2 linked regions of the Schizosaccharomyces pombe genome follow. The protein of the gene in region 2 binds, or shares a complex with, the protein of the main gene of each other region. Each region holds a gene or a part of one and is shown on either strand. Other genes may lie near its edges. The genes, in order: atg8 and hfl1. A codon is read from its position in the direction of its gene.

Region 1 (3,894 bases), on a different chromosome or scaffold from region 2:
GAATAAGAGGGTTTCGAATAATCTTGATTTCCTACAGCCGGGCTAGCCGTTCTAGGTGTACTTCCAGTACTACTACCACCGGCACGCAACTGTGAAGCATGTTTTGGAGGAGGAGGCAATTTTGTAACATCGACATATTTTATTGATAAACGAGGCCCGGTTCCATGAACGGATCTAATATCATACATAGCATCTTCGCCATGTTCACCTATAAATCCCATTTTGTTAGTAATGTCTCAAAAAGCAAAGGAAATATGCTTACCTGGTAATTTCGATGTAATCTTATTCTGGAAGCGGTTCGCAGAATCCGACATCGAATGCAGTGATTTTTTTGTTGAGTCAAACATTACGATTAGTTTGAAATTGATTTCTCACAATTGACGCAAAAACCGATTTTACCCAAATGTTTGCGGTGGACAGCTTCCGACTCTCGAAATTCCTTAAGTCCGCTTTTCTAAGAGCCCATAGGGTAAACAACTACACAACGTGCTAGTAATATCAGCCAGCTGATAGGAAAAAATAATGTCTTTGAGTTCTTTTTGATAAAACATAACAAAATAGTAAGCAGCTAATAAGCTTCGCGTTTGTTGTCAATACTTACTATCAGAATTGCAGCATTGCTATTACGCTTGCTAAATTGGATAATATACGTAGAGTTCTATATTCATTCAATTGAAAACTTGTTAAAATCGCATTCTTTATGCGTATATTAGTTATACAACTATGGCTGTCAGAAAATGCAAACAAACTACCACAAGAAGTGATCCTTCCAATGATAAACGTTTATGTTAACAGAATGTAAAATCATTGCTTTTCAAGTAAATCTTATAAACACTAGATGTTGATGACTTTCATAAATAGAAAGTAGGGATTACAATTCATCTGTTCCGTCATCTTCAACATTTTCTTGAGACAACTGCCCAGATTTGATAATTTTTACATCTTCAAGAGGCTTATCACGGTTGTCAGTCTCAGCTTTGGAAATTTTCTTGACAATATCGTAACCAGAAAGGACTGATAAAATTAGTATTAGCAAACAAAAAAAAGGAAAAAGAAAACAAATAGTCACTTTTATAAAACATATACAACTACAATATGAATTCTTACCTTCACCAAAAACAACATGGTGTCCATCTAACCAAGGTGTTTTAACTGTAGTAATGAAAAACTGAGATCCATTGGAATCGGGTCCAGCGTTAGCCATGCTAAGCAAACCGGGACGTTGGTGAGAAAGCTTAAAGTTTTCATCAGGAAAACGGCTGCCATAAATTGATTTTCCACCAGTACCATCACCCTTCGTAATATCACCACCTTGAATCATGAAATTGGGAATAACGCGATGGAAAATAGATCCTTCATATCCAAATCCCTTTTCTCCGGTGGCTAATGCGCGGAAATTTTCGGCTGTTTTGGGAACAGTTTTACCAAACAATCCAATGGTAACTCTTCCAAGGAACTCATCACCTTGTTGCAAGTCGAAATACACTGTGTCTGTAACTTTGGGGCCACGGTTGGCAGAGATAAGCCCAAAGAAAAGAGTAAAAAGTAAAGAGAAATAGAACAACTTCATTTTTGTTTTCACAAACTAAAAGCTTCGTTGTGTGGTAAAGGATAAATAAATAGTTATGGTGGGGTTTAATAGCAAGACTCGCTAGATTTTGGTTGCTGTAGCAACTTTTAGCACAATGTTAAGCAAATAATTCAAGAAGCGCTTATTTGTTTACATCAAACACTACTATTTTTCTAATGGTTTGATTATTTAATGAAAGATAGAAATAGTAATTATTTGCAAAATTCTATTTCCTAACCTTTTTTGGAAGGTATTTACGTGTTAAGCGTGCTATTATTTATTTACACAACGTCTTTATTTCCATTCTTGCTTTTCTTCCTAAAAGAGTTGTGACTTTTGTTGTACCAAGGATTGAGTATATACCAATTATGGCTATCATACTATAAAGAAGTAGTAAAAATTCCTTTTGATTGTGTACTGCTTAAGATTCGTAAAGTATTTATTTATTACGAAATAAGGTAACTTATCATAGTATCATAAGATTGCTTCATATCTCTGTATACGTTACCCAAGGGTACGCTTATTTATCCAAGACCGTATACCACATAACTCACGCACCGTTTACAAAGAACACCGAATTTTGAAGCAATTGAAGAGAGGAGTTACTACTTCAAGCAAGAAGTTTGAGAGTTCTCATGCGTTCTCAATTCAAGGACGACTTTTCTTTTGGTATGTGTCAAAAACTTATAGAAGTTGTTTTTTGGACAGCATTGTAGAATACCTGGAACTAGTAGGCTAATTAATAATCAGAGAAACGAAAAACAGAGTCTCAAAGAATCCGGGAAAAATATCCCGATCGAATACCTGTAAGTAGAGTCTGGTGGTCAAAGAGAACAGGTTTCAGAGCAAAATAGTGGTGAATTGAACAACACCCATTGTTTTTGTCATCAAAAGTGAATCCATTGTTACAAGTCTGACCTTTTTCTTTCAAAAATACAAATTACGTTTTAAACTTAACTGCTAACTTAACAGGTTATTTGCGAGAAAGTTGATAAATCTGATATTGCTGCAATAGATAAAAAGAAATATCTCGTTCCATCTGACCTTACAGTTGGTCAATTTGTATATGTTATTCGCAAACGGATAAAACTTTCTCCTGAGAAGGCCATCTTTATTTTCATTGATGAAATCTTGCCCCCGACAGCGGCCTTGATGTCAACGATATACGAAGAGCATAAAAGTGAGGACGGCTTTTTGTATATCACGTATTCAGGAGAAAATACATTTGGAACAGTGTTTCCTTTTTAGATCAACAATTTGCCTGTTTTAAGATGGCCCCGCCTTCTTTTAATTGTGATCAGCAAAATTGTTTGTGGACAATGGTTGAATGATTCTTTATGTTTTTTTTACTCTGCATTTCTAGCTTTTTAGCTTTCAAGTTTCTTTGCTTTTGCATTATGATTATTTTACGCGCGTCTTATACATATCATTCTCAGGTTAGCCACCACGATTTTAAGGATGTTTCAGATTTGTCTTACAATAGATGTGATGAACGCTTATGACTAGTTTGCTTTGACAACAAAGTTATTTTACCTTGTTAATTAATAAAAACCATCAATTAAAAAAATTGATTTTGATTTTCTAATAATATTAAAATGTTGATAAATAATAAGTAGATATATATCATCAGCTGATTCTATCCTTTTTTACATTAACTGGTTGTCATAATAGCGAATACTATTCACATGCCCCAAAAAATTGGTCAATCGTAAACTTTCATAATTCAAGCAACAAGTGTTATAACTATATTTCAAAATAAAGCCCACTCCTGCATTTCAAAAATTTCAGTAGCATTTCATCACTGAGAATGCTCCATCTTTATCGATGGGCGGCACCTGTTGATAATAAAACTAATTTCTTCTTTTTTTTGTTTTTTGAGTTTTTGGAAGGTGCAGATAATTGAGCAACTTTGTCCCAGTCAACTTTCCAACCATCAAGATCGTCTTGATCATCGGTGTCATTTTGAATATTGGCAAGAGCTCTTGTTCCCCAAACAGTCTTTGCAGTAGATAAGGTAGACTCATCTGTATTAACCTCATCGGTAGATTCAAATTGATGATGACTTCCCAATGTGGGGAATGCTTCAGCAGGGTCCTCATGCACTACGGTTTTTGGCACAGGTCTCTGCATATTTAACTCGGAGTATATCTGTTCCTCTGTATCACGTTCAGCCCGTTGTCGATACCTTTCTTCTCTCATTTCTTGAGCTTTACGTTGCTTGCGTCGTTTACTGATTTCTGATTTGAAGGTTAACAAGACTTCTTTGGGAATAATCTTAGACCAATCACACTCAATAAAGGCAACTTCACAGCCTTCAGGTAAAT
Region 2 (4,952 bases):
TTTGGTTCAATAGTGGATAAATAATATACTCAATAAATATAAAACCATGAAAATCTTAAATATAGCAAATTAACTAAGGCATTGAAAGAAATTTGTCGATCCTGGTTCTTCCAAACTACTATTAACGTATATTCAACTTAAACTTCAGCTTGCCGTTTACCAAGCACTGCATATTTGGGTTCTGCCAGCTTTCCCTTTCTATTGTCATGATTTACGCTGTTTTTATATTTAACAATAAAGGGAAACCTCGTCTCACAAAGTTTTACACTCCAATTGATGAATCCATTCAACAAAAGTTAATAGGAGATATATATGCAGCTGTATCCACTAGGCCCCCAACCGCTTGTAATTTTTTGGAAAGTAATTTAATTGCAGGTAAAAATAGAATAATTTATCGCCAGTACGCTACTCTCTACTTCGTTTTTGTAGTAGATGAAGGTGAAAGTGAACTAGGAATTCTCGATCTCATTCAAGTAAGTTGAAATTAGTTACTTTCCAATTTCTAACTATTAAAGGTATTTGTTGAAGCATTAGATCGATGCTTTAATAATGTTTGCGAGCTTGATTTGGTAAGTACATTTCACTACTCGTTTATCTTCCCATTATCCTACTGCTATATGTTTGAAACCATTGATTCCGTTTTTTTTTATTTAATTTGTTTTTTTCTTATTTGGTTTCGAATGTTTGGAAATTTGGCCTTACAAGAAACATTAATGTTTGTCCAATATTCGATTATCAAAAGAGCATAACATTTATTTTTATCATTTATTGAACTTAGGAACTACAAGAGTTTAATTCCTAATTCCTTTACTTCTCATCGCCTTCAAGAAAGAAATTATGCATAGAACTGGAAGTAGAGTCTCATTGTCGATGATTCGCAATCTCCAATGAAAAAAAAGAGGAGGTGTTAGTAATAATTATCCAAATACAAGTGTATACGCCAAAAAAAAAGGATATTGAAGGAAGAAATAATTAGAAGAGTTGAAAGCCATCTGTTTGAAAGCGAATTAGAAAGATCTAACACAATATAGGTTTTTAAATTCCAAGAAATACATGCTATTCTTGCTGAGGTAGTATCTGGTGGTCTTGTCTTAGAGACAAATCTGAATGAAATTGTTTTGGCAGCTCAGAATCAAATGCCAAAAACCAAACGGTCCAATGCAATGCCATTCAGCAATACATTAAGTTCTTTTGCTACTAGGTTCTAGTGACTTTTATGTATATGAAGAAGATGCATGAGTATTGTTCACTAGAAGAACTGGATAATTATAATCACCATAACGCATCTGTTTCGCTTGATTGTATAATGGTTCCATTTCATCGTCTATTTCAAATTGGAGCCCATTTTCGAAATGTGAAGTTGACATCCCTGGGATAGAAAAGTAGGACTTATTTGATTGTGGAGAGTTTTGACTATTGTTAATGAGACGCACTCGAGATTGATCATATCGAGAAATCCAGTATTTCGATTGACCTCCCTGACTGTACCGAAGACCATGACTTGTTCTATTAATCCTTCCATCGTTTCTTGAAGGTATTAAGTTCTCCCCAGGCTCAAAATTTTGATATACATAACGATCTCCATGTAGAGTTTGCAAACTATCGCACCAGACGTCTTTCAACCCGATTACGTCTTTAAAGGCTTTAAGGAGCGGTAGTCTTGCACAAGACAGCCATGTGGGTGTATCGTAATCCTCGATTCGAAAAGCGTACCAATGTGAGAGGGCAAAAAAGGGCATTTCTAAACACATGAGAACGTTCTGATTTAGTAAGGAGTAAATCCAGCCTGTTCCATTTAAAAGTCCCAGCCAGTTTGTAATGGAAAGAACGGTTTGCTGCCAGTAAGAGGCAAATATAATAGCTTTAACGGAAAGGAATTTTGGGAAAGGGCGAAAAGGAGCGAGCTCTTCATGCAAGCAAACCCAAAAAGTTGTTAGTGAATATAAAGAAAGCGTAATTGAAATGTTATAAACAAGACCTATCCAAAGGTCTGCAGAAGCATAAACAGGTTGATCTTCTCTGTCGTAGACTCCGGTGACTTTTGTTAACAGCACGGCAATCACCAGAAATGGTTTAAGCCAAGTGTATTGTAAAATCCCACGTTTTATAGAAAGGAAGGTGTAAGGATCACTTAGGTCAATATCATCTTGCAAATAATTCAAGGGCCATAACCTAGGACGAGGCAGATGTCCATGCAAACTAATAACTGCAGCCCGTTCTCCGCCAAGATAATCAATTAATAAACAGAAAAAGCAATACAAAGCGAATGCCTAATTTATTGTTAGAAATTATTCCATTAAAACCTCAATTACGCCTCATTAACTAACTAAACTAGTAAACCAACATAGTACAACTCATAACAGCCAAACCACTCTTTCAGTCAACCCCTTTTCAAGCATTTTAAAACAAATCTGCAATATATTGATTGCCAAGGAAGGTACTTCATTCAATGGCAACGGCTAAATGAGAAAAACCTACCTCGTAAATTTCACGAAACGGTTCGAAAATACTTCCAATTTTTTCATTGTATACCGATAAAAACGATACAGAAGAGTAAATTACAATCCTAGCAAAGCATTAGTACATTTCTATATCAGTCAAAGAATTTCAATTTTACGAACATCATCAAAATTCGCACCACAGAACGCTGTAAGACTGGTTTTTTGTAATTTTTCAAATGAGTAATGATAGAAATACATGATAGCACTAAAGCAATGGCTACGAAGAAGCCGCATAATGCGACTATTTCGTTGTCCATGAAATTAGAGCTGATCGTGATGAAGGGACAAAAATGCAGGCAAGGTGGCTACCACAAGCTATAAGGGGGCCTTCTCCAATTCCAAACAGATACTACCTACTACGGGCTTTACGGTGTTTGTACGCATAAGCTATAGATAAAGTACCGAAACTTTGTGATGTGGAAGAGTTCATCGAAGCTAATATTGATTTACCTCTTTAGTATGGATATTGTTTTATAGCAAAAGTAAATTAATAATACTGTCTTACAGGATAATTTGCCCTATAGCTGTAGTACTGCTGTAAAAATCATTTGTTTCCATAATACTAGCAATTCGTGATCTTTAATTAATCTAATTTTTGTTTTTTTTTTAAACTCTACTTTCCTCCCTTCTGTATGATGGAGGACCTAAAGTAATGTCTCCCATAGCATTCTGATGATTCTTAAGCTGACTTTTTGAAAAAGAAGCAGTAAAATATAATGAGTGTTTGTTTCTTAATGCGTAGGAGAATTTCGCCTTGGCATATATATGGCTTAGTTAAAAAATTATTTCTTTTATAAAATTGAGAAACTCCAAGTCAGACTATTACCGCATTGTATTCAAAACAAATCACTTATAAATTTTAATATTTTTGCGCTCACCTGCGTTGTTTCTTGGATGTAATATCGCTAAAGTTCAGTAAATGAGTTGTTGAAGAAAATAAAATCTTTAGCCAAGACTGCAGACAAATTTGTATTTGTTAAGCAATGAGTAAAGACTACGGAACTCCTCCTGAGAACTGGAGGGAGGTTTACGATGAAATTTGTAAAATGAAAGCCAAGGTCGTAGCGCCTGTAGACGTTCAGGGTTGTCATACATTAGGAGAACGTAATGATCCAAAAAAATTTCGATTTCAAACACTGGTGGCATTGATGCTTTCTAGCCAAACAAAAGATATAGTACTGGGTCCTACCATGCGAAACTTAAAAGAAAAATTAGCTGGAGGACTTTGTTTAGAAGATATCCAAAATATTGATGAAGTTTCTCTAAATAAACTAATCGAGAAAGTTGGTTTTCATAACCGAAAAACCATTTATTTGAAACAAATGGCACGTATTTTATCAGAAAAGTTCCAAGGAGATATTCCGGACACCGTAGAAGACCTAATGACTCTCCCAGGTGTGGGGCCTAAAATGGGATATCTATGTATGAGTATTGCATGGAATAAAACTGTTGGAATTGGAGTAGATGTTCACGTACATCGTATATGTAATCTTCTTCATTGGTGTAATACGAAAACTGAAGAACAGACTAGAGCTGCTTTGCAAAGCTGGCTGCCTAAGGAATTATGGTTTGAGCTGAACCATACACTTGTCGGTTTTGGGCAAACAATCTGTTTACCAAGAGGAAGGCGCTGTGATATGTGTACTTTATCTTCTAAGGGCTTGTGTCCTAGCGCCTTTAAAGAAAAAAGTGGCATCACAATAACTAAGAGAAAAGTCAAAACGATTAAAAGAGTCAAAAAAAGACCTGCTTCTGAGTCACCTCCTCTATCTCCACTCTCCCTTCCTACAGATGATTTGTATTACCAAAGCATCGAAGATAAATCACTTATAAAACTTGAGGACTTGGACCCTGTTGATAGTATATCACACATGAATGAACCTTTGAAAAAAGAACCAGCCGCTGATATTGATGTAGATCAGAAGCCACCTGTCGCATTCCATTCAACTACAAAAGAAACTAGGTCACTGCGCAGGTCAAAGCGAGTTGCAAAAAAATCATCCCAGTATTTCTCCCAACAAAGTTTACAAGATATTGAAGATCTGGTTTAATTTATTTTTAGGACCGTAAATTTTGGACAACATAAATCTGTTATTTATTTACATGAATTACTCAAAATTATTTATTCTTTACAACTCCGTCTTTAAACATATTCAAGAACCTTTTGCTACTGACTGTATAGTTATAATATCCTCTACCTTTACTTTTTAATAATTTTTTTAAATCTTGGAATAAATTGAAATCATTAATGTTGTTATACCCTTCAACAAACAATGCAGAATGTAAGATACTCGTTAAATACTACTAAGAACAATTGGAGTTTCGTCGAACATATAATAAGTACAAAAGTTTTCGGTTAAATCCTCTGTGTGAGGCGTATACAGCATCCAATCGATAGGAATGGGGCCGGTTATAGATATGTCAGGGCGCACTGATGGTCGATCGGCATCA

The links.
Region 1: the proteins of hfl1 (region 2) and atg8 are in contact, whole or in part, in a crystal structure (PDB 6AAF), measured with the Schizosaccharomyces pombe proteins. Residues at the interface, in NP_593211.1 of Schizosaccharomyces pombe: Leu386 (codon at 1,340), Gln387 (codon at 1,337), Phe388 (codon at 1,334), Glu389 (codon at 1,331), Ile390 (codon at 1,328), Asp391 (codon at 1,325), Glu393 (codon at 1,319), Met394 (codon at 1,316), Glu395 (codon at 1,313), Leu397 (codon at 1,307), Tyr398 (codon at 1,304), Gln400 (codon at 1,298), Ala401 (codon at 1,295), Lys402 (codon at 1,292), Met404 (codon at 1,286), Arg405 (codon at 1,283), Tyr406 (codon at 1,280), Gly407 (codon at 1,277); in NP_596531.1 of Schizosaccharomyces pombe: Phe5 (codon at 2,218), Phe9 (codon at 2,230), Lys13 (codon at 2,323), Glu17 (codon at 2,335), Arg20 (codon at 2,344), Ile21 (codon at 2,347), Tyr25 (codon at 2,359), Arg28 (codon at 2,368), Val31 (codon at 2,543), Ile32 (codon at 2,546), Lys46 (codon at 2,588), Lys48 (codon at 2,594), Tyr49 (codon at 2,597), Leu50 (codon at 2,600), Val51 (codon at 2,603), Pro52 (codon at 2,606), Asp54 (codon at 2,612), Leu55 (codon at 2,615), Gly58 (codon at 2,624), Gln59 (codon at 2,627), Tyr62 (codon at 2,636), Val63 (codon at 2,639), Lys66 (codon at 2,648), Arg67 (codon at 2,651), Thr87 (codon at 2,711), Phe104 (codon at 2,762).

What each region holds. Positions count from the first base shown.
Region 1 is NC_003423.3:3,683,577-3,687,470, reverse strand, and holds atg8 (autophagy-associated protein Atg8), read left to right. Parts: upstream 1-2,100; 5' UTR 2,101-2,205; coding exon 2,206-2,239; exon of another isoform or gene 2,240-2,320; coding exon 2,321-2,376; exon of another isoform or gene 2,377-2,542; coding exon 2,543-2,818; 3' UTR 2,819-3,190; downstream 3,191-3,894. Other genes in the region: SPOM_SPBP8B7.26 (uncharacterized protein), read right to left, coding at 1-208, 263-347; cyclophilin family peptidyl-prolyl cis-trans isomerase Cyp4, read right to left, coding at 872-1,014, 1,108-1,570; rnf10 (ubiquitin-protein ligase E3), read right to left, coding at 3,389-3,894. UniProt on the Schizosaccharomyces pombe protein: Ubiquitin-like modifier involved in autophagosome formation. With atg4, mediates the delivery of the autophagosomes to the vacuole via the microtubule cytoskeleton.
Region 2 is NC_003424.3:1,106,373-1,111,324, reverse strand, and holds hfl1 (transporter Hfl1), read right to left. Parts: upstream 2,788-4,952; 5' UTR 2,759-2,787; coding exon 2,622-2,758; exon of another isoform or gene 2,574-2,621; intron 2,567-2,573; coding exon 2,479-2,566; intron 2,271-2,478; coding exon 1,215-2,270; 3' UTR 1,209-1,214; coding exon of another isoform or gene 1,032-1,208; 3' UTR 639-1,031; downstream 1-638. Other genes in the region: AP-3 adaptor complex subunit Aps3, read left to right, coding at 207-473, 516-569, 1,032-1,208; nth1 (DNA endonuclease III), read left to right, coding at 3,485-4,552; Lsd1/2 complex PHD finger domain-containing protein Phf2, read right to left, coding at 4,796-4,952. UniProt on the Schizosaccharomyces pombe protein: Vacuole membrane protein that recruits ATG8 to facilitate the degradation of vacuolar integral membrane proteins during early-stationary vacuole turnover (EVT) when cells enter stationary phase.